Cricetulus griseus: one gene and its partner. The protein of the gene in region 2 interacts with the protein of the main gene of each other region in a biochemical or structural test. Links are inferred from orthologs where the notes say so. Each region holds a gene or a part of one and is shown on either strand. Other genes may lie near its edges.

Evidence for each region. The genes of interacting proteins can lie anywhere in the genome.
Region 1: the proteins of Itgb2 (region 2) and Icam1 form a complex in vitro, tested with the Homo sapiens proteins (4 studies listed by BioGRID). The link is inferred for Cricetulus griseus from reciprocal best matches to the Homo sapiens genes ITGB2 and ICAM1.

What each region holds. Positions count from the first base shown.
Region 1 is NC_048597.1:133,880,793-133,890,764, reverse strand, and holds the start of Icam1 (intercellular adhesion molecule 1 precursor), read right to left. Parts: upstream 5,810-9,972; 5' UTR 5,651-5,809; coding exon 5,584-5,650; intron 2,739-5,583; coding exon 2,478-2,738; intron 1-2,477. UniProt on the Homo sapiens protein: ICAM proteins are ligands for the leukocyte adhesion protein LFA-1 (integrin alpha-L/beta-2).
Region 2 is NW_023276806.1:261,265,140-261,275,345, forward strand, and holds the start of Itgb2 (integrin beta-2), read right to left. Parts: upstream 4,776-10,206; coding exon 4,718-4,775; intron 4,372-4,717; coding exon 4,283-4,371; intron 1,102-4,282; coding exon 921-1,101; intron 1-920.

The sequences.
Region 1 (9,972 bases), on a different chromosome or scaffold from region 2:
TGGAGGTCACAGGACACATATATATCGTTTGTAAAGAACTGATGTGCAGGGCAGTGGTGGCACACACCTTTCATCCCAGCACTCGGGAGGCAGACACAGCCTGGTCTACAAGAGTGAGCTTCCAAAGCCACAGAGAAACCCTGTCTCGAAAAACCAAATAAATAAATAAATAAATAAATAAATAAATAAATAAATAAAATAAAAAGAAAGAAAAATAAAAAAGAACTGATGTTCAACCCAGGCTTGGAAGCACACACCTATGGTCTTGGTGCTTGGAAGGCAGATACATGAAGAGCAAGATGCTGGATGCTTGCAGAAATGGGCTTAGTGGTTAAGAGCACTGACTGCTCTTCCAGAGGATCCAGGTTCAATTCCCAGCACCCACATAGCAGCTCACAACTGTCTGTAACCCCAGTTCTAGCCGAGCGGTGGTGGTGCATGCCTTTCTTCCCAGCACTCGGGAGGCAGTGGCAGATGGATCTCTGTGAGTTTGAGACCAGCCTGGTCTACAAGAGCAAGTTCCAGGAAAGACTCCATCCAAAGCTACACAGAGAAACCCTGTCTCAACAAAACAAACAAACAAACAAAAAAACAGTTCTAGGAGATCCAATATCCTCACACACACATGCAGATAAAACACCAATGCACATAAGATAAAAATAAATAAATAAATTTTAAAAAGACTAAAAAAATAAGTACAAGATGTCAAAGCCAGTTTTTTGTTTTGTTTTGTTTTACGAGACAGGGTTTCCCTGTGTAGCTTTGGAGCCTGTCCTGGAACTATCTCTTGTAGACCAGGTTGGCCTTGAACTCAGAAAGATCCACCTGCCTCTACCGCCCAAGTGCTGGGATTAAAGATGTGTGCCACCACTGCTCGGTGTCAAAGCCAGTTAACCTTAAAAAAAATAAAATAAACATAAAGAAACTGTCTCAAAAAGCAAAATAAATAAATAAATATGGGGGTTGAAGAGACAGCTGCTTACTGTAGAGGACTGCGGTTTGGTTCCCAGCACCTGCGAGATGTCTCACAACCACCTGTAACTCCAGTTCCTGAGGTTTTAATTCATTTTTCTGTCCTCCACATGTCGGTACATTCATACATGCAGCCCTAAATGTTCATACACACAAATTAAAAAAAAATCTAAAAATAAATTAACAGCAGGGCAGGCAAGAGGGTTCAGAGAATGAAGGCACTGCCACCAACTGTGATAACCTGAGTTCCAGTTCTCTGGGAGCTACCTGGTGTAAGGAGAGAAACGATCCCTGCAAGTTGTCCTCTGACCTTGGCACCTGTGCATACACACACAGTCTCACTGTGTAGCCTGGATGGTCTGGAACTCACTATGTAGACTAGGCTGGACTTCAACTCACAAAGATCCTCCTGCCTCTGCCTTTCAGGAGCTAGGATTACAGGCATGTGCCACCTTGCCCAGCAGAATTTTAAAAAATAAACTAAAACTTACAAAGTGCACTGGACAGTGGTGGCACAGGCCTTTAATCCCAGCATTCAGGAGGCAGAGGCAGGCTGATCTCTGTGAGTTCAAGGCCAGCCTGGTCTACAGAGTGAGTTCCAGGACAGGCTCCAGAGCTACACAGAGAAACCCTGTCTTAGGAAATAAATAAATGAATAAATAAAAGGATCAGATCTAGGGCCTCTTGTTTAAAAATGTGGCAAAGGGTGGGCTACAATTCAGGGGCAGAGTCCTTGCCTTGAATCTACTAAGTCCTGTGTTCAATCCCCAACACTGTGCAAAATAGCTAGGGGTATAAACCTATAATCCCAGCCCCCAGCAAGTGGATCAGTTCAAAGCCATTCTCAGTTATGTGTGACCCTGTCTTAAAACAAATAAGCAAACAAACAACAACAAAAACAAAAGACTGTGGCTGGAGAGAAGGCTCAGCAGTTAAGAACACTGACTGCTCTTCCAGAGGACCTGTCCTATTCCCAGCACCACATGGTAGCTCACAACTGTCTGTAACTCAAGTTCCTGGGCACTGACACCCTAACACAGACATACATAAAGGCAAAACACCAATTTGTATAAAATAACAAATACATTTCTTTTGTTTTTTGAGACAGGGTTTCTCTGTGTAGCCCTGGCTATTCTGGAACTTACGTTGTAGACCGGGCTGGCCTTGATTTCACAGAGATCTGCCTGCATCTGCCTCCTGGGTGCTGGAATTAAAAGCCTTTATACCAACCACCACTGCCTGGCTTAAATACATTATTTTTAAACCCAAAACATTAGAAATAAGCAATAATAAATAGAGTACAGTTAAAAGGGTAAACAAAACAGAACAATCCAGGCATCAGATGGTGGCATTCTGGAATGTTCTAAATTCCTGTGGTACATCCTCCTGACAAAAGTTTAAAGAGATCTCTAAGTGACAGTGGGACTTTCCAAGGCTGGCTCCTGGTCCCAGCTGCCATATCCCCTTGGGTCTCCCTATACCCCACCCTTGGCCCTGTCACTTACAGTACAAGACAATGGTGGCAGAGGCTGAGGACTGGATAGGGCCACAGTTCTCAAAGCACAGTGGCTTGCTGTCGTCTCCAATGTCACTCAGTTCAAACAGCTTCCAATTGTGTCCATGATCCAGCTCTACTTTGGGCCACTGAGTCTCCAAGCCCAGGCTGAGGTTCTCGCTGCAGGAGGAAGAGCAGTTCACCTGCATGGATGCACCCCGAGGCAGGAAGGCTTCTTTGGGGTGGATGGATACTTGAGCACTACCAGGCCCTGGAACAGAAAGGAGAGATAAGAGGCCGGTTCAGCCATGTGACTTCAGAGCTAGGTGCTGGGCACGCAGCCTTGAGCTAGGCAGGATGTTGCTCTCGATGCAGGAGGCAGCCATGCTTGAGTACACAAGAGGGGTTGAGGGGGTGCTGGGCATAGTGGACAGAGCACCTGCCTAGCATGCCTGAAGCCCAAGTTTCATCCTCAGCACCCCATAAAATGAGTATAGCGGCATACATCTATCATTCCAACACTCAGGAGGTAGAGGCAGGAGGATCAGGAGTTGAACATTATCCTGGACTAGATATAGAGTTTGAGAGTATTGCCCTCCCCAAACACCAAGTACTGTGTTTTTCTTTCTTTTAAAAAAATATGTATTGCCCAGTGTTGGTGGTGCACGCCTTTAATCCCAGCACTCGGGAGGCAGAGGCAGGTGGATCTCTTTGAGTTCGAGGCCAGCCTGGTCTACACAGCAAGTTCCAGGACAGCCTCTAAAGCCACAGAGAAACCCTGTCTGGAAAAACAAAACAAGACAAAAATATTATTGCTGGAAGGTGGTGGTGTATGCCTTTAATCCCAGGACTTGAAAGGCAGAGGCAGGCAGATCTCTGTGAGTTCAAGGCCATCCTGGTCTACAAATGGAGTTCCAGGACAGCCAGAACTGTTACACTGAGAAACCCTGTCTTGAAAAACCAATAAATAAACACATATTTTAGTGTGTGTGTGAGTGTGTGGGGTGTGTGTGTATGTGTGTGTGAGAGAGAGACATGCATGCAGGTGCCAGAGAGAATTGCATGATGCATGCAGAGAGAGAGAGAGAGAGAGAGAGAGAGAGAGAGAGAGAGAGAGAGAGAGAGAGAGAGAGAGGCAGGCATGCAGGTGCCAGAAGAGATCAGAAGGCTATCTTAACCTCGGGAACTGGAGTTATAGGCGTTGTGAGCTACCATGTGGTCCTGGGATCAGAACCCTGGTACTGCTTAACTGTTGAGCCACTCTCCAGCCAGACACACTACCACACTCAGTTTTAGTTTTAACACAGTGCTAGGGATGGGACCCAGGGTTCCACACCTGCTAAGCAAAGGCTCTGCCCACTAAGGCCAGCCCCAGATACTAGCTGTTGGGTTTTTGTCGTTACTTTGTTTTTGCTTTGGTTTTTCTTCTTTTTTGGTTTTTCCAGACAGGGTTTCTCTGTGGCTTTGGAGTCTGTCCTGGAACTTGCTCTTGTAGACCAGGCTGGTCTCAAACTCACAGAGATCCACCTGCCTCTGCCTCCCAAATGCTGGGATTTAAGGTGTGCACCATCAACGCCCAGCTGTTTGTTTTTTTTCTGACAGGGTCTCATTATGCAGCCCTGGTTGTCCTGGAACTCCCTGTGTAGACCAGGCTGACCTCACACTCACAGAGATCCTCTGCCTCTGCCTCTGGAGTGCTGGAATCAAAGGCATGTGCCACTGCCCAGCTTTAATAGTGGTTTGGTAATAAGAGTTTTGGTAAAACCAAAACAGAGTAGGGTATAGCATATAGTTTTTTGGTGACAGACAGATTTGAGCAGAGATCTGAAGGATAAGAAGACATTGCCTGAACAGGGAAAAAAGAAGCCAATGACGGACAGAAAGAACAGAGAGTGCAAAGGCCCTGAGGCAGGGTGGCAGAGTGGACGGTGGGAGAGAGGAAAGAAAGGAAATGAGAGTATCCTGTGGGTAGGGGTGGGTCACATCCCAAATGTGTCCCTAGGGCTGGAGAGATGGCTCAATGGCTAGGAGCACCTGGGTTCAATTCCCAGCACCCACATGGCAGCTAACAACTGTCTGTAACTCCAAGATCTGACACCCTCACACAGACATACATGCAGGCACAACATCAAGGCACTCAAAATAAGAATAAATTATTTTTTTAAATGTGTCCCTAATGCCAGGTGTGGTGGTGCACACTTTTAATCTCAGCACTCCTCTGCTCCTCTGGCCCATGATCTAGCTAGGAGGTCAGAAGCCTCCTATGAGCAGCTGAGCAAGTTCGGAATCTTCCTCTCATTGGAGGACAGCAGGTGCTGCCCGCAAGCAAGGGAGGGCTCCTGTGGGGAGTCCTCAGCCACCTCACTTCACTTCTCAGCCTCTGACTCCTGAGCACACCAGCCCTGGAATTCCCCAGTGCAGAGCAGCCTGGACTTCCCCCAGGGGTGAGGATGAGGAACAGGCTATCTGTGGGGAGGGAATCGGACCTCAAGACTCAGCTTGGTAGGGGCTGGTCCCCCTACTATCTGCGCCCCCCCCCCCCGCACATTCTGACTGCCCCATGACAATGGCTGTGACCACTGTTCCCATTGAACAGGCCAGGGTCCCAGGTTCTAAACGAATACGTTTATAGAGGAGTAGTGTGTCTCAAGCGGGTGATCCCAGGCTGAAGGGAGAAGGGCGGGGACCATGAGGATGAGAGTTCAAGTCCAGTCTAGGCTAAGTGCCTCAAAACAGGCAAAAAGGGAAGGGAAGAGAGGGAGAAAGGGGGAGAGAGAGAGGGAGAGAAGGAGAGGGGGGAGAGAGAGGGAGGAAGGGAGAGAGAGATGGAGAGGGAGGGAGGAAGAGAGGGGGAGAAAGGGAGAGAGGGAGAAGGGGAGAGGGAGGGAGGGAAAGGGAGGGAGAGGGAGCGGCAGGCAGGCAGACAGGCAGACAGTGTTCTGCAGCCCATCCGCGGGATTTGAACTACTCGGGGCTGATGGTTTTCAACCCTTCGTTTCCACTCCCACTTCCCGTTAACAGACCCCTAAGAACTATCCTCTGCTCCTCTGGCCCGTGCCTGGGTCCACCTGGGGTCCGGAAACTTGTCCCTAAAAGCGACCCCACCTCGGACTCACCTGGAATCACAACGGCCACCAGGGCGAGGAGCAGGGGTGGCGTGGGCCTGGCGCGGGTGGGAGCCATAGCAAGGCCAGCAGAGCGCAGGGAGCACGAGCACCCACGGGGCAAGGGGCACGGAGCACCGGGCGCGGACGGGACGGGACGCGGGCGGCGCGCAGCGCGTCTGACTTTATAGTTGCCGGCCGGCCGCGGGGGGCCGAGGGGCGGTGCTGGCGGGGCCGCTTTCCCGGAAACCTAGCGCCTTCCCCTCCGGAACGCGGACTTCGGTATTTCCGCAAGGAGATCGTGCCCTGGCCTAGAGGGGTGGCCTGCCTCGCTGGGCACCGTGGCCCAGGAATTTCCAGACTGAAGCAATGGCCAATGGGGGCGGGCTGCGTGCGGGAGAGGGTGGGTGAGTTCAGCAGAGGGCTCAGGACCTCTGGAGTCACGTCACGCCTGCAGGGTAATTGGTTAACCGGTGCCTGGTGCCCTGTGCCCTCGGGACTGCCGTCGCCTCGCGGGGTAGCCTCGAACCCCAGCTCCCACAAGCCTCTTTGCCCCCCACGACACGCCTTAGCCAAGCACAACAATTCCCTGGAATCATTCGGGGCGCCATCCGCTCAGAGGGGCCCCTCTCCCAAGGCTCGCACCCCACCCAGTTGACACCAGAGATTTTTGGAGCAGCGGTCCAAGCAGGCCCGGACAGATCCGGCGTGGGCGAGCCCTGCCAGAGAGGCGTCATGCAGTCCCTTCGTCCCTCCTCCCACCCACGAGTGCTCCCGCCCCCGCGGCCTCGCTTCCCCTTTCTACTCTGACCCCTGGGGCGTCTTGACAGCTCCCCAAGAAGGAAGGAAGAGGTCTGTCTGGCCCTGTGGAGCCCTGCGCCACCCTTTCTCAGGCTGGATAAGAAACTGAGGGCAACTCAAGAGAGGCACCTCTCAGAGAGGGGCCTAGCCCCCCACCCCCACCCCCCCCCGCCCCGCCCCTCCCCCGCCTTGAGTCCCCCTCCTTCCTCCCCCGCTCTCTCCCTCCCACCCCCATACCCCCTCCTTTCTGTCTCTCCCTCTTCCCCTCCCATCTCACCCCCACTCCTTCTCTTTTCTGGAGACTGGGTATCAAGTAGCCCAGGCTGGCCTCAAACATTGTGTAGCTAGGGATGACCTTGAACTCCAGATCCTGCCTCGTGCTTCACCAGGCTTGGTTATTTTAACCTTTGCTTTCTTCAGGGAAACTGAGGCAGACCCTGAACTCCAAGGTCGGGCGGAGAGAGATCTCGAACACCGATCTTCTGACCCAGGGGGTTTGGCACCCGAGGCTTCCTGTTGTGGGACGCCCGCACTGTTGCCGTGGAGACCGGTGCTGGGCCAGGAGGTCGTGCTGCAGATGCGGAAGGGAGAGGTTGAGAAGCCTTCTCTCTTCCTCCGGTAGCAGCAGCTCCTGGGACACTCCACAACCCACGCCCCCAGCCTGGACATTCCTAAGGAATTTCCACGGGGATCTTTTGATCTTGGGGGGTCGGGGAGGAGACAATCAGTCCCTGCCCCGGGACGACTTTGGCAGAGTTGCAGGGTGACCACAGGAGGGTCTGGGAAAACCCTCGGAGTGGATCTTTTTAGGGTGTCACTGAGTCTTTTGGTCCCTACTTCATGTGTGGGGAGCCTCCAGCGCCCTAAGTTCCCATTTGCAGCCCTAAGAGCAAAGTTGTTTAAGTGGGTGCCTACTTTGTGCAGGGCACCATCGTTCCCAGAGCTGAATATTGGAAAATCCTGCTGGGATGCTCAGCTGAGCAGTGACACGCAAAACACAACTCTACTGCCACAGAAAAGCTCGGCAGCCTGTGAGAGCGGTACTCAGGAAGTGGGGGTCAGCCTGGGCTACACAGCGAGTGCACGCCAGCCCCACACCAGATGTCTTCAAAAACCATCAAGGAGGCTGAGAGATGGTTTATCAGTTAAAAGCAAGTGCTCTGGTTCAATTCCCATCACCCATATGGCAGCTCACAGCAATCTGTAACTCAAGTACTAGGGATCCACCTGAAGTTCTTTATCTTTTGGCCTCCCTGGGCACCACAGACACACACACACACACACACACACACACACACACACACACACACACTCGAGATACCTTAGCAGTTGATGATCCAAGTTCAGTTACCAGCACCATGTCAAGCAGCAAGCATACATGTGGTACACATGCAGGCAAAGCAATCACATATAAAATAAATTTAACAAAATAATTTAAAAATAATCTTTCTGAGGCTGTAGCTAGTTAGTAGGGTACCTGGTTTTTTTTTTGGGGGGGGAGGGTTGGTTTTTTGAGACAGGGTTTCTCAACAGCATAGAGTGCCTGTTTAACAAGCACAAAGCCCTGGCCAAGTGTGGAGGCACAGACCTTTAGTCCCAGAGGCAGGGAGGCCAGTCTGGTCTATGGAGCTAGTTCCAGGACAGCCAGGGCTACACAAAGAAACCATGTTTCAAAACACACACACACACACACACACACACAAAAAAAAAAAAAAAAAAAAAAAAAAAACAGAAAGAAAGAAAAAGAAAAACAAAAATAAATAAACAAGCACAAAGCCCACATGGAGGACGGAGGATCAGGAATTCAGGGTTATCCTCTGCTACATGTTGAAGGCCAGCCTGGGCTACACGTAGGAGCCGCCCAGATTTAAAAAAGAAAAAGAAAAGTGGAGTATTATTTTGTGACGAGTGGTAAAGTGGAAAGCTAAAGCCAGGGATAGTTTTTGATGGTTAAAAAGAATTGGTGTGGTGACCAAACATTAGCAGGGTGGAGAGACCACCCAGTGGTCAGGAGCACTTGCTTCTCTTCCAGAGGAACTAGGTTTGGCTCCCAGTACTTTTGGAGGCTCACAATTGCTTGTAATCCAAGCTCCAGCAGATCCCATGCTGTCTTCTGGCTTCCACAGACACCTACATGCATGTGGCACACACACAAAGTTTTTTTATTTTATTTTTTTAAAAATTTATTTATCATGTATACAGTGCATGCCAGAAGAGGGCACCAGATCACATTACATACAGATGGTTGTGAGCCACCATGTGGGTGCTGGGAATTGAACTCAGAATCTCTGGAAGAACAGTCAGTGCTCTTAACTCCTGAGCCATCTCTCCAGTCCCACACAAAGTTGTTTTGTTTTTGTTTTTGTTTTTTAATTAAAAGAGGGCCTGGAAAGATGGAGAGAGAAGACTCGGTGGTTAAGAGCACTGACTGCTCTTCCAGAGTTCTTGAGTTCAATTCCCTGCATGGTGAACATGGTGGTTCACAACTATTTACAGTGTGGTCTGATGCCCTCTTCTGGCAAGCAGATGCAATGCATACAGAGCACTCATTTTGAAAAAAAAAACAAAGAAAAAGAAAGCTGGGGGTTGGTGGTGCATGCTTTTACTCCCAGCACTCAGGAGGCAGAGGCAGGCAGATTTCTATGACTTCAAGGCCAGCCTGATCTACCAAGTGAGTTCCAGGACAGCCAAGGCTACACAGAGAAAACCTGTCTCAAAAAAGAAAAAAAAAAAAAAAAAAAAAAGGCTAACCTGGTATATATGAGACCCTGCTTGGGTAGTCCACTGGACATCTCTTAGACTTGGATCCATTCCCAGGCTAGACCCACCGGACTTGTTAAGGCTTGCGTTCAGGTCTGAGATCCTGGGCGGGCCATTTGCTGAGGTGGGAATGGGAAAGTGAGAGGTAGGCAACAGGCACTCAGTGCAGCATGTTCCAGAATTACATTCCTTTGCAGTTCTCCTCCCCTGCCTGTGCTCAGTCTGCAGGAAGGGCATGGCTTCCTCCCTGGTACCAAATGGTCTTACACAAACTAAAGAATGTTCTGAAGCTTCCAGCCTCATTTGCTGTGAGTTCTGGTGGGGACAACTTGCAGCTCCCTCAGCCTGCCCTGCTTTCCCTCTCGTCCCAACATGGGCTTGTCCTCCTTTCAGGAGCCCGAACAGCCTCTGTTTTTATTTCTTTACTTTGAGATATGCTCTTGGTCTCTGTATCCAGGCTGGCCTGGAACTCCCTAGCTTCTGCTCCAGTACACACAAGCTGGGATTGCAGGCATGTGCCACCACACCCTACTAACATTTCCCTTAGCTGTAGGTTGTAGATGAGCACTCTACCAGCTGAGCCACATGCCCAGCCCTGGTGTTTTGGTTTTTGAGACAAAGTCTCATGTAGCTCAGACTAGACTCAGTCTTACTATGTAGCCCAGGGTGACCTTAAACTCCTGGTCCTCCTGCCTCAACTTCCCAAGTGCATTCACCTTGCCTGGCTATGTCCTAATGACTTGAAAGTACATTCCAGATACACTATCACTTTCTTAGGATGCCTTTTGCCCTTGGAGCTGTCGGAGGATCAGTGTGGAGGGACAGGTTCTGGCTTTTTTA
Region 2 (10,206 bases):
AATGAAACCAGGATGATCGTCCTGAGTCTCCTCTCCCCACTCAGGGGCTTTGTAGGGTTATCTGCTGGTCCCCCTTGGAACTGTGGCTACAGCTACATCGAGTCTGCCCACAGCACGTCTGCTGTCCCAGCTATGCTCACTTCACTGTGTCCGACCCAATCGAGCACGCCTGTGGCAAGCCTGGTTTGAAAAGTTATGCATCCCTGGCTACAGGACTTGTCAGGGCTCTCACTCTGCCAAGGGTAGCTAAGCCTTCTGAGAGTGGAAATGAATGGTGATTTCTAAATGGTTTGCTTCCCCATTTCAACAAGGCACAGACCAACTGCTAAGAGAGGATCCATCCAGGCGTTGGTGGCACATGCCTTTAATCCCAGCACTCCGGAGGCAGAGGCAGGCGGATCTCTGTGAGTTCAAGGCTAGCCTGGTCTACAGAGCGAGTGCCAGGATAGGCTCCAAAAGCTACACAGAGAAACCCTGTCTTGAAAAACAAAAGAGAGAGAGAGAGAGAGAGAGAGAGAGAGAGAGAGAGAGAGAGAGAGAGTCCAGACACCTAGTGCAGACAGTGGGGTTGAGGGAATCCACCCAGGGCGGAGTTCAGACTTTGAAGTAACTGTTTTAAAAATTACAGTTATTTGTAACTGTAGGATTGGCTTGCACACACCATGTGCATAAGGAGATCAGATAACTGCTTGGAGCTTTTGGTTTTCTCTTTTCACCCTTTGGGCCCTAGGGTATTGAACTCAGGTAACCAGGTTTGGTGGCAAAGCACTTTCACCCATGGAACACTTTCACTGGTCCTGGAGCTCAGACTTCTGTGAGTCAAGTTCACTGTCCAACCCAGAGACTGCCCCATCTGTCTGCCCTGACAGGACACACAGGCTGAGCTCCTAGATGCCCTGGACAGCCAACTCTAAGCCTACCTGGTCGCAAGTAAAGAGTCACTTTTTGTGGAGATAACTGCTTCCGTTCCCCCGGTTGGTCAAACTGAGGTTCAGCAAGGCTCCTGGGTTCCATTATGTCATCGGCTGGACAACCCTTCTGCAGCAGCTGAGCCCGTGTGTCACAGCGGAGGGAGTCAGGCTCTCCTGGTCCAGTGAAGTTCTAGGAGGAGGGGTCGGGCAGAAGGCACAGTGCTGAGACAGTGGGGTCCAGCCCCATTTCCTTCTTACCTGCCCTTGAAACTTCAGTTAGCTGTCCCAGTGGGATGGGGTCATCCTCTAGGGAAAACCAGACTCCTAGACAGCCTAGGTCACCCAGACAGCTCCAAGTTTCCCTGAGAGCTCCAGGTCACCAGAAGCATAGACTATAGACTTTTCTCTATCTTTCGGGCACTGACTCCATCAGCAAAGACTTGAGGTTCTCTATCTCTAGCTTGATCAGCAGCCTCAAGCTCAAGTGCTGGCCAGAACCCTCTGGTCCTTCCTCAGCAGGACCTTTGCTGGGAGCTTCTGTCTCCCAAGGGAATGCAGGTGCTCTCTTTGAACCAATGTGACAACCCTTGCTGAGACTCATGGCAGAGCTTGGGGTCAAGTTTGATGGGGGATGTTCTTTTGTATATATGTTTCTCTTATTGGTTGATGAATAAAACACTGGTTGGCCAGTAAAGGCAAGAAGATAAGAGGGCTAGGAGACAAGGAGATTGCTGGAGAGAGAGGCGCCACAAAGGGATGCCATGTAGAGATCAGAAAGATAGGATGTTCCAGGTGTTCTCTGGTAAGATAAAGCCATGTAGAAATATATAGATTAGTAGTTATGGGTTAATAATTAAGAGAGAGCTAGCCAGTAAGAAGCCCTAGCCATCAGCTTACAGTTTTATAATTAATATTGCGTCCATGTGCTTATTTGGGGCAAAGCAGCTGTGGGCCAGGTTAGAAAGAAACTCCATCTTCACAAGTTTCTCCCAGTTCATAGGGAAACCAGTTGGTGAGGGGAGTGGAGAGCCTGGGGGACCTTCATCTTGACTACCACGTCTCTTCAAAAAACCCCTGGATTTGACATGGAAGTCATTCTTGGTCCTGAACTGGAACCTGTTGCATCCAAAGGAGGACTGGTTCACCTGCAAAGTACCAAAAAGCACCGGGCTGCCTGTTTTCCCACAGACAGTAAAGCCAGACGAACAACTCAGAAGTGCAGTAGACACCGCCTGCCGAGTGTCTCTGCTCTGTGTTTGCTTTCAGAGCCACATCTTAAGTCCTCAAGAAACAGACGATCAGCCGGAATAGAGATAAGAGAAGCAAGCGTGTAATCCATGTAGAACAAGCGGCCTGACTGTTCATTTCAGGTGAGTAAAATGGCTCAAGAGGAAGAGAGAAAAGCTAGTCCATCTAAGAATGGCTTGTCCATGCTTGCACCACAGCTCTCAGTCACAGGATAGAAGTTACAACACCAGGCCTCTGCTCTGGAGCTTTGCCTGTAGCGGACATGATCGATGGCAATAGAAGTCAAAAACCTTGTGGGATGGAGAAGATGGGGAAAGTCGCAGAGAATGCTGGGAGCCCACTTGTCATGAAAGCATAGGAGCCTTCTCTAACTCTAACTCTTGGCCAGGGGAAGGCCAGAGCACAGTTAGCACAGCTGGTCATCCCAGAGTATGAAAGTTCTCAGAACAAGACAAAATGACAACAAAAAATGTCATATGAATGATACCCAGAGCATCTTAGAGGGGCCCAATGGCCTGACATGGACCAGTTGAACATCAAATTGGAAAAATAATAGTCATAAACTATGAAGAGAATAAAGATCTGCAGATCCATCAATGGGGTGGGGGCTGAGAGAGAGAGAGAGAGAGAGAGAGAGAGAGAGAGAGAGAGAGAACCATTTTACAGTCACTACAGTGGTAATGGAAATTTGCCTGAGTTGCCAGTAGTCAAATTGCAAGGTCACAGACTTAGTTTAGTGGGGACAGAATGCTAGCAACCTGACAGCACCTCACAGACGAGCCTGTCACTCACTGTGGGGGACACAGGATGTGAGGAGAAACCTGGCAGGTGTCACCTTAGCAAACATCATTAGTGCAGGGACATAGGGCACACCAGTGAGGGCACCATGTGTGCCTCATGTAGGGCACCAAGAATAACTCACTGTCTGGTGACCCTAGTGTACATCAGAGGACATGCTGGGTTGGAGGCGCCAAGGGACATTCTACACTGATGGCTCTACTCATCCTAAAACGACAAAGCTGGGAATGTTCTGGATATAAGGGTAGTAAAATGGCACACCGTGTGTCCTCAGATTATGACAGTATGGAAAAATGTGAAAATTTGGCAAGATGCAAATACGGTCTGCCCATTGGGCCAATATTACATTTGCTGAGTTTGATAACAGGATCAAATATGAACATACACATATGGCATGGTTCGTGTTGACTATCAGCTTGACAGGCTCTGGACTCTCCCAACAGGCAAGGCTCCAGGCACACTGGGAGGGACTGTGTTGACTAGGTTCTTTGACATGGGAAGACCTGCCCAGTGCAGGTGGCACGGTCCCATGGGTTTGGGTCCCGGACTGAAGAGAAATGAGGAAGGGAGTCGAACATGGACATTCATCACCCTGCATCCTGTCTGTGGATGTGATGTGACTAGCTGCCCCACACCCACACCCCCGCTGCTGTGACTTCCCCACCATGACAGACTGTCATCTCTAACCGTGAGCCAAAATAACCCTTCCTTCCTTAAGTTGCTCTTATCAGGGTGTTTTTATGACAGTAACAGAAAAGTAACTACGACAGTACATTTTATAAAAAACACACTCAGTGTGTTTTTGTTTTGTTTTGTTTTTTATAAGCGAATACCTTATTCTCAAAGACCTATGAAGATAGAAGGGACAGAGGCTGTTGGTGTAGTTTCCACCAGAAAGGATCAGGCGACTGAGAAGAAAGAGTAATGTGGGTGTTTCCCTGTGGGGTCAGCAGCTTGGGGACCCCAGGAGGAGCATACGATAAAGGCTTAGACCCACAGGAGGAGCCCTCTATAAGAGGTGGCCAGCTGTACTGAGGGACTGGGGTACAGGATGAGAAGTCCCCTCCATGCCTGCCTGTGGGCCTTTACCTCCTCCTGTTCTTGATTCACACTGCAAAGCTGGACTGTCCCTCCCTACATACCTGGAGTCAGCCTGGGTTACCATGGTACATCCATCTCCCTCCTCGAAACTTCTCTACTGAGTCATTCCTGCTATGTCCTAAGGAGATTGTCCTGGTGTCCCTGGCTTCAGAGAAGTAGAGGTCCCTACCCAGGAAGAGGGGAAGGGGGCTTAAAAACTGTCAGGCGACCCACGCAGCTCTTACCAGCTTCTGGCACCATGCGCATCCAGGCCCCGACTGGACACAGTCCTGACAGTTGCTGACTTTGTACTTGGTGCACTCCTGGGACATGACTGAGGAGACAGACAGGCTGGATGAGGACCCTGCACCCACTCTGGCTGCTCTCAAGAGTGAGTGGGGAGGGGGGGTAGACGAGGCTCTGGGGAGGGTGTAGGCTAGTGTCTACAGCCTTATGTGATCTGGGAAGGGCTCTGAGTCGTCCCAGTGGGATTCAGAGCAGCACCCCTGAGGAAGTCAGACTCCGCCTCCTGTTATATGGGGATCAAAGACATCCATGCCTGAGACTGACTCCCAGAGGATGGTCCTTCCTCAGCCATCTGGGAACTTATGCCCAAGAGGACATGAGGTGGGCCTGCTGGGTGGGAATGTCATGTGTAGGGACAACATCATAGAACTCACCTGATCCCAGGTAGAGCAGTCCAGCTAGAGCGAGCAGCAGTGAGTGCCAGCCCAGCATGTCCTGTGGAGAGAAGGGCTGGGTGACTTCTGGCTGATCACCTGAAGACTTCCTTCTTGCTGGCCTCCTGTCCTGCTGCCACAGGGCATGAAAACCAGGCAGGGCCAGCACAGGTATCACTCAAAGTCCACAGGGTAACTGGCTCAGGTGGCCAGGTCCCTAGAAGAGCAGGCAGCCAGCCTCTGTGGGACTACCATAGGCATGCATGCATTCATGCATGCATGTGCACGCGCACACACACACACACACACACACACACACACGGGTGGGGGGAGGGAGGGAGGAGATGAAAAGAGAGCGAGACAGAGATAGAGACAGAGAGACGGAGAGAGATGCATGCCATACAGGCAGCCCCACTCCCCACCCCACAAGTGCAGTGGCTCACACTGTCGGGGCACAGCTGTAACACCTGTGTACTCCAAGTCCTTAACGAGCTTGGACCCCAGATCTGGTTGACCCAGATAGCAGAATTGGGCCCAGGTAGAGCCATGAACTTGGAGCACTTGTGGAACAGGGCTGAGCTGGCTCACAGAGACTCTCTCTGTCTCAAATACTCCTTGGAGCCTTGATTCTATTCTTGCCCAGGAGGAGATAGAGCTGGGGACCTTGTTGGAATCCCTGTCCCGGGCAGGGGAGAATCGGCTTCACAGAGCTCATCCATGGCTTTGACTACCCTACTGCTGGCTGCCTGTTGCCATGTTTCCAGAACCACAGCATCCTGTCCTGCTTATAATCCATGGCACTGAGGGCCTTGAACTAATAAGGGGCCCAGCTGGGGACTAGGCATGCTGAGAGGCCTGGGGTGTGACTTCCTTCCTCATGGCTGGGCACCGGCAGGACTGCCATTCTCCTAGATCTTTACTGGTATCCTCCTTCCCCTGCAAGGACCCAGAGAGGTCAGGACTCAGCCCCTGGGACCTATGATGTTCTGAGTGGTGTGGCCCCTGGGTCTGAGTTCCTAAGACATGAGGATCTGTGGCAGGCAGGCAGGAAGAGATACATGACCAGGGCCTGGGTTGTCAGAAACAAAAATCAGCATGCCTCCCCAAGCCATGACCAGCTCCTCTACAGGGCAAGGCTGAAGCCACTGAGGAAACCGAGTGAGGGTGGGGACAGGGTTGCCAGATCAGTGCTCTGAAGGTGGCTCTTAGTGCCTTGTATGGCCTCAGAGTACTGGGTATACCAACCAGCCTGTGGTCCTTGACATCACCATTGCTCCCTGAAGCCCAGAATCCAGGCTGAGGTCTATGATAGTCATGACACCCTGTAGAGTCACCCAGTTGGGGACCCTGTGGATACAGCCCTCATGTAGCCCCATTTCTGACCCTTTTAAAAGTGGCCTATGACCTCAGAAAGACTATCCTCAGGGCCCAGAATTGTTAAATGAAGCCCCACTTAAGGAAAAGCAAGACTTCCTCCCTCGCTTTCTGAGTTTAGCACACTGTAGCAAGGCAGAGAGGGGACTTGAAGCTACATGGGAGCCATCCCAGCTCTGAATATCTCTGTCTCCCGGTCCCAGGGCACCTAGCCCAAGCTGAGGCAGCTGCATTTGGTCCTGCTTCTGCATCTCATCCTAGAGTTCCTTGAACACTGCTAGGGGTGGCACACGTGTGTCCACCAACTCCCTTAACTAACCTGGGGCCTGGCACGTGTGACTGAGATCTGCATGCTGACACTGCAATCCAGTCAGCCTCAGGAAAGCCCCCTTTCTGAGGCCATGGCTGTTGTGGGTAGAGAGTGGGGAGAGTCCTTCCAGGGCACAGGTATGGTACTTCAGAGAGAGGCCATCACAGATGTCGCCCCCAAACAGCCACTATAGTCAGTATTCAAACTTGCTGGGGAAACTGGAGCTCCAAGCAGGAGCAGGATACAGGGTTGTGTCTCATACCTATGAGTGTGTTGACGGGCATGCACACAGAGATAGAGAGAGATAGAGATAGAGAGATAGAGAGAGAGAGAGAGAGAGAGAGAGAGAGAGAGAGTGTGTGTTCAACTTGGTTATAAGACCAACCCACAGACCACACTGCCCTGCCCTGACCTTGACCACAGGAAGTGGGTGGTGGCCAGTGTAGCCACCGCCTGTTCTTTGTTCCAGGTGCAAAGCTCTCAGGACAGAGAGCACTTGAGAGGAGCCATCTCCACCTGGGCCCCCTATGCCCCACAGAAGACACCAAACAATGACAATGGTGTGAGCCTAAGTCATCAGCTTGTGCAAGACCTCCTGACCCTGTCTTTATCTTCTCATCTCCTAGCCCTCCTTCTGAGGACCTTGCCACTGAAGAGCCATCAGTTGGCCCAGGTCAGGTGGCGCTTGCCCTTGGAAAGACAGGTTTGAGCGTTTGCATCTCAGTATGATCTCTTAGTGCCTAGCACAGCTGGTCCCTCTTCTCAGTCTGTGGGGAGGCCCCTAGTCACTGCAGCTGCCAGCCAGAACAAGAGTGAATAAGAGGGCCTGAGGTAGAAGCCCCACACTCCCACCCCATGGTTACTGAACAGCCCTGAGAAGGTCTCCTCTAGCTCCTGGCTTCACTGGAGCTCCTTAGGTCTTCCAGGTACCTTCACCAAGTCATGAGGTGAGACCTTACGCAGAGGCCTCCTGAGAAAGCCCTGCCCCAGTAGCTATTAGAACTCTTCATCACAGCCACCCTCTATCTCCACCCTCTGCTCAGCAAGTGCTAGCCCAACCCAGGAAGTGGTGGCTATCCGCAGGCCTTCACATTGTGAGGCCTGAGTTGTTGGCCTTCCCTGAAGATTCCCTTGGGGACTATGGCTTCACACGAAGGGGTAGATGAGGCCATGGTGTTTGCACCTGGGTTCTGTGACAGGAAAGTATCTACCTCATACATGTCCCCATGAGAAATGAAATGCCCATGGCAAAGGAGGAAACAAGAAACAAAAGGCAATTTGGGCAGGGTGTGGTGACCTATAACTGTAATCCCAGCGCTTGAGAGGTGAAGGGGAGACGACCAGGAGTTCAAAGTCATCCTCAGCTACATAGTGAGTTCAAGGACAACTGGAGGTGAATGAAACCCTGACCGCCTCCCGCCCCCCCCCCCAAAGAGTGGGTGGTGATGTAAAAAAAAAGCCAGCTGAGGGGGCAAGTCTTATAAGAGGCTGGTGGTGGGTGGCTTCCTGTCCCTAGTCAGAGCACATGAGGTACCTGACTGACTGAGAGCAACACTGGGAATCAAGCAGTTGAACACTGACAGAGCCCCAGGGTAGTTTGCAGGGAGAATAGATGGAGTCCTAGGACTGCCCTTTTCTGAGGAAAACAAAAATAAAGGCACGTGACCATCAGAGATGATCATAGCCCAGCCTTGAACTTTTTCACTGAAGTCCAGTGTCAAGATGGAGTCACTTCTGCCCTTACACACTCACAAAAGAACTGGGGGCAGATGGGCTCAGGGTGCGGGAACAGGGTTCTGGGATCCAGGAGCTCCGGGCAGAGGACAAGGGGCTTGTAGAAACAGAGGGAACAGCTGATTTGAGGACACAGAGCTCCGGGCAAACACAGGGAACAAGGGATGTTCTAGTTCCCTTTTTGTTGCTGTGATAAAACACTGACCACAGGCAAGTTAGGGGAGGAAAGAGTTTCTTTCAGCTTATAGGTTACAGTCATCACTGAGGGAAGTTAGGGCAGGAACTCAAGCAGAAACTTGAAGTAGAAACGATGGAGGAACCCTGGTTAGAGGCTCCCACTCCTACAGGCTTATGCTTAGCTGGCTTTCTCTGTAGCCCAGGACCACGTGCACTGAGAATGGTGCTGTCCCACGGTGGTGTGGGCTCTCCTACATAGATTAATCATCCAGACATCTCCCCGCAAACATACCCACAGGAGAATCTGATCCAGGAAGTTCCTCAATCGACTTAATGCTTTGTAAAAGTGACAAAGCTAATTAGGACAAGGGGCACACAGGAACAGATGGAGTAGCTGGGTTCTGGAATACTGCATCTGGAGTCCTAGAGCTCCAGGCAGACTTGGAACAAGAGGCCAGAAGGTCGGAGGGAGGGGTGAGTATGGAGGATACTGGTCCTATAGACTCTCAGAAACCCTCCTAGAACCTGCAAAGGAAATTTCATAAGTGACTGAGAAACATGGTTGCATGGTGCTTATTAATGATGGAGTCCACAGATACCAAAAGCTGCAGCGACTGACCAACTAGGATTAAGTGGGACTCACTTCTAAAGCTGTTTAAGAACACAACAATAGCTGGGCATTGGTGGCACATGCCTTAAATCCCAGCACCTGGGAGGCAGAGGCAGGCGGATCTCTGTGAGTTCGAGACCAGCCTGGTCTACAAGAGCTAGTTCCAGGATAGGCTCCAAAGCCACAGAGAAACCCTGTCTCAAAAAACAAAAACAAAACAAAACAAAGAACACAACAATAAGCTAGGCATAGTGGAACAAACATTTAATTCCAGCATTGAGGAGGCAGAATAGGTGGATCTCTGCAAGTTTGAGACCACCCTGATCTACACAGTGAATTCCAGGACAGCCAGAGCTACATAGTGAGACCCTATCTCAAAAGATAGATAGATAGATAGATAGATAGATAGATAGATAGATAGATAGATTGATAGAGCAATAAAAAGTCCCAAGTCAGAGGGAGACTACAAACATCCTTGCAGGCATGTTAGAACAGGAGAGGCCTCCTGCTGTGAGGTTTCCCCTCTAACAGAACCTGAGAAATTAAGGGTAGGTGAGCATCTCCGAGGAGCATGGACCACAAATAGGCCATTCAACAGGCAGAACACAGATGCAGAGGGGCATGGGATACCCATCAAAACACGGGCATTTCTGGAGTAGATTTCCAACAGAAGATGGCTTTACCATTTTAATACACACAGCTCCCGCCCTGTGGAATCTGCCTGCAGCAGCATTGTAGTATGGATAGCAGCTGGGGTAACTCATTCTCATGGTGAAAGTGAACGGACGGGAAAAAGGAAAAGCCGTGGACCAAAATGTCCCGTGGGTAGCATCACAGAGGTGCCCTCAGTTTCCTCCATATTCTGTCTATATTTTCCAACTTTATGTAGTAATTGTGCACGGTGACACCCTAAAAGCTCTGGTGGACGCACTATGTGAAATTGCTTCTTGAGATCCCAAAAGCTATTGGTGTTTCTGCCCCTACTGCCCAACGTTCCTGAGGAGAGTTCCAACGTGACGGTGGGAAGAACGGAAACGGTGAGCTCTGACCTCACACTGGTATGGGAACCTGTTCACCAGTCCTTCCTTTTTCATTGCTTCACCCACTCATTTTCTCAGTCACTCATCCAGCAAGGATTTGCTGGTCTCTTCTGGGACAGGGACCGGGGCATCCGGGCTGTTCTTAGACATCCTTGGACTATCCTGCTCTTTGTAGTTCCTGCCCTGCCTCACAACCTCCACCTACTTTCCAAATGTTCCAGAGCTCCCGCCACTGCAAACAGCG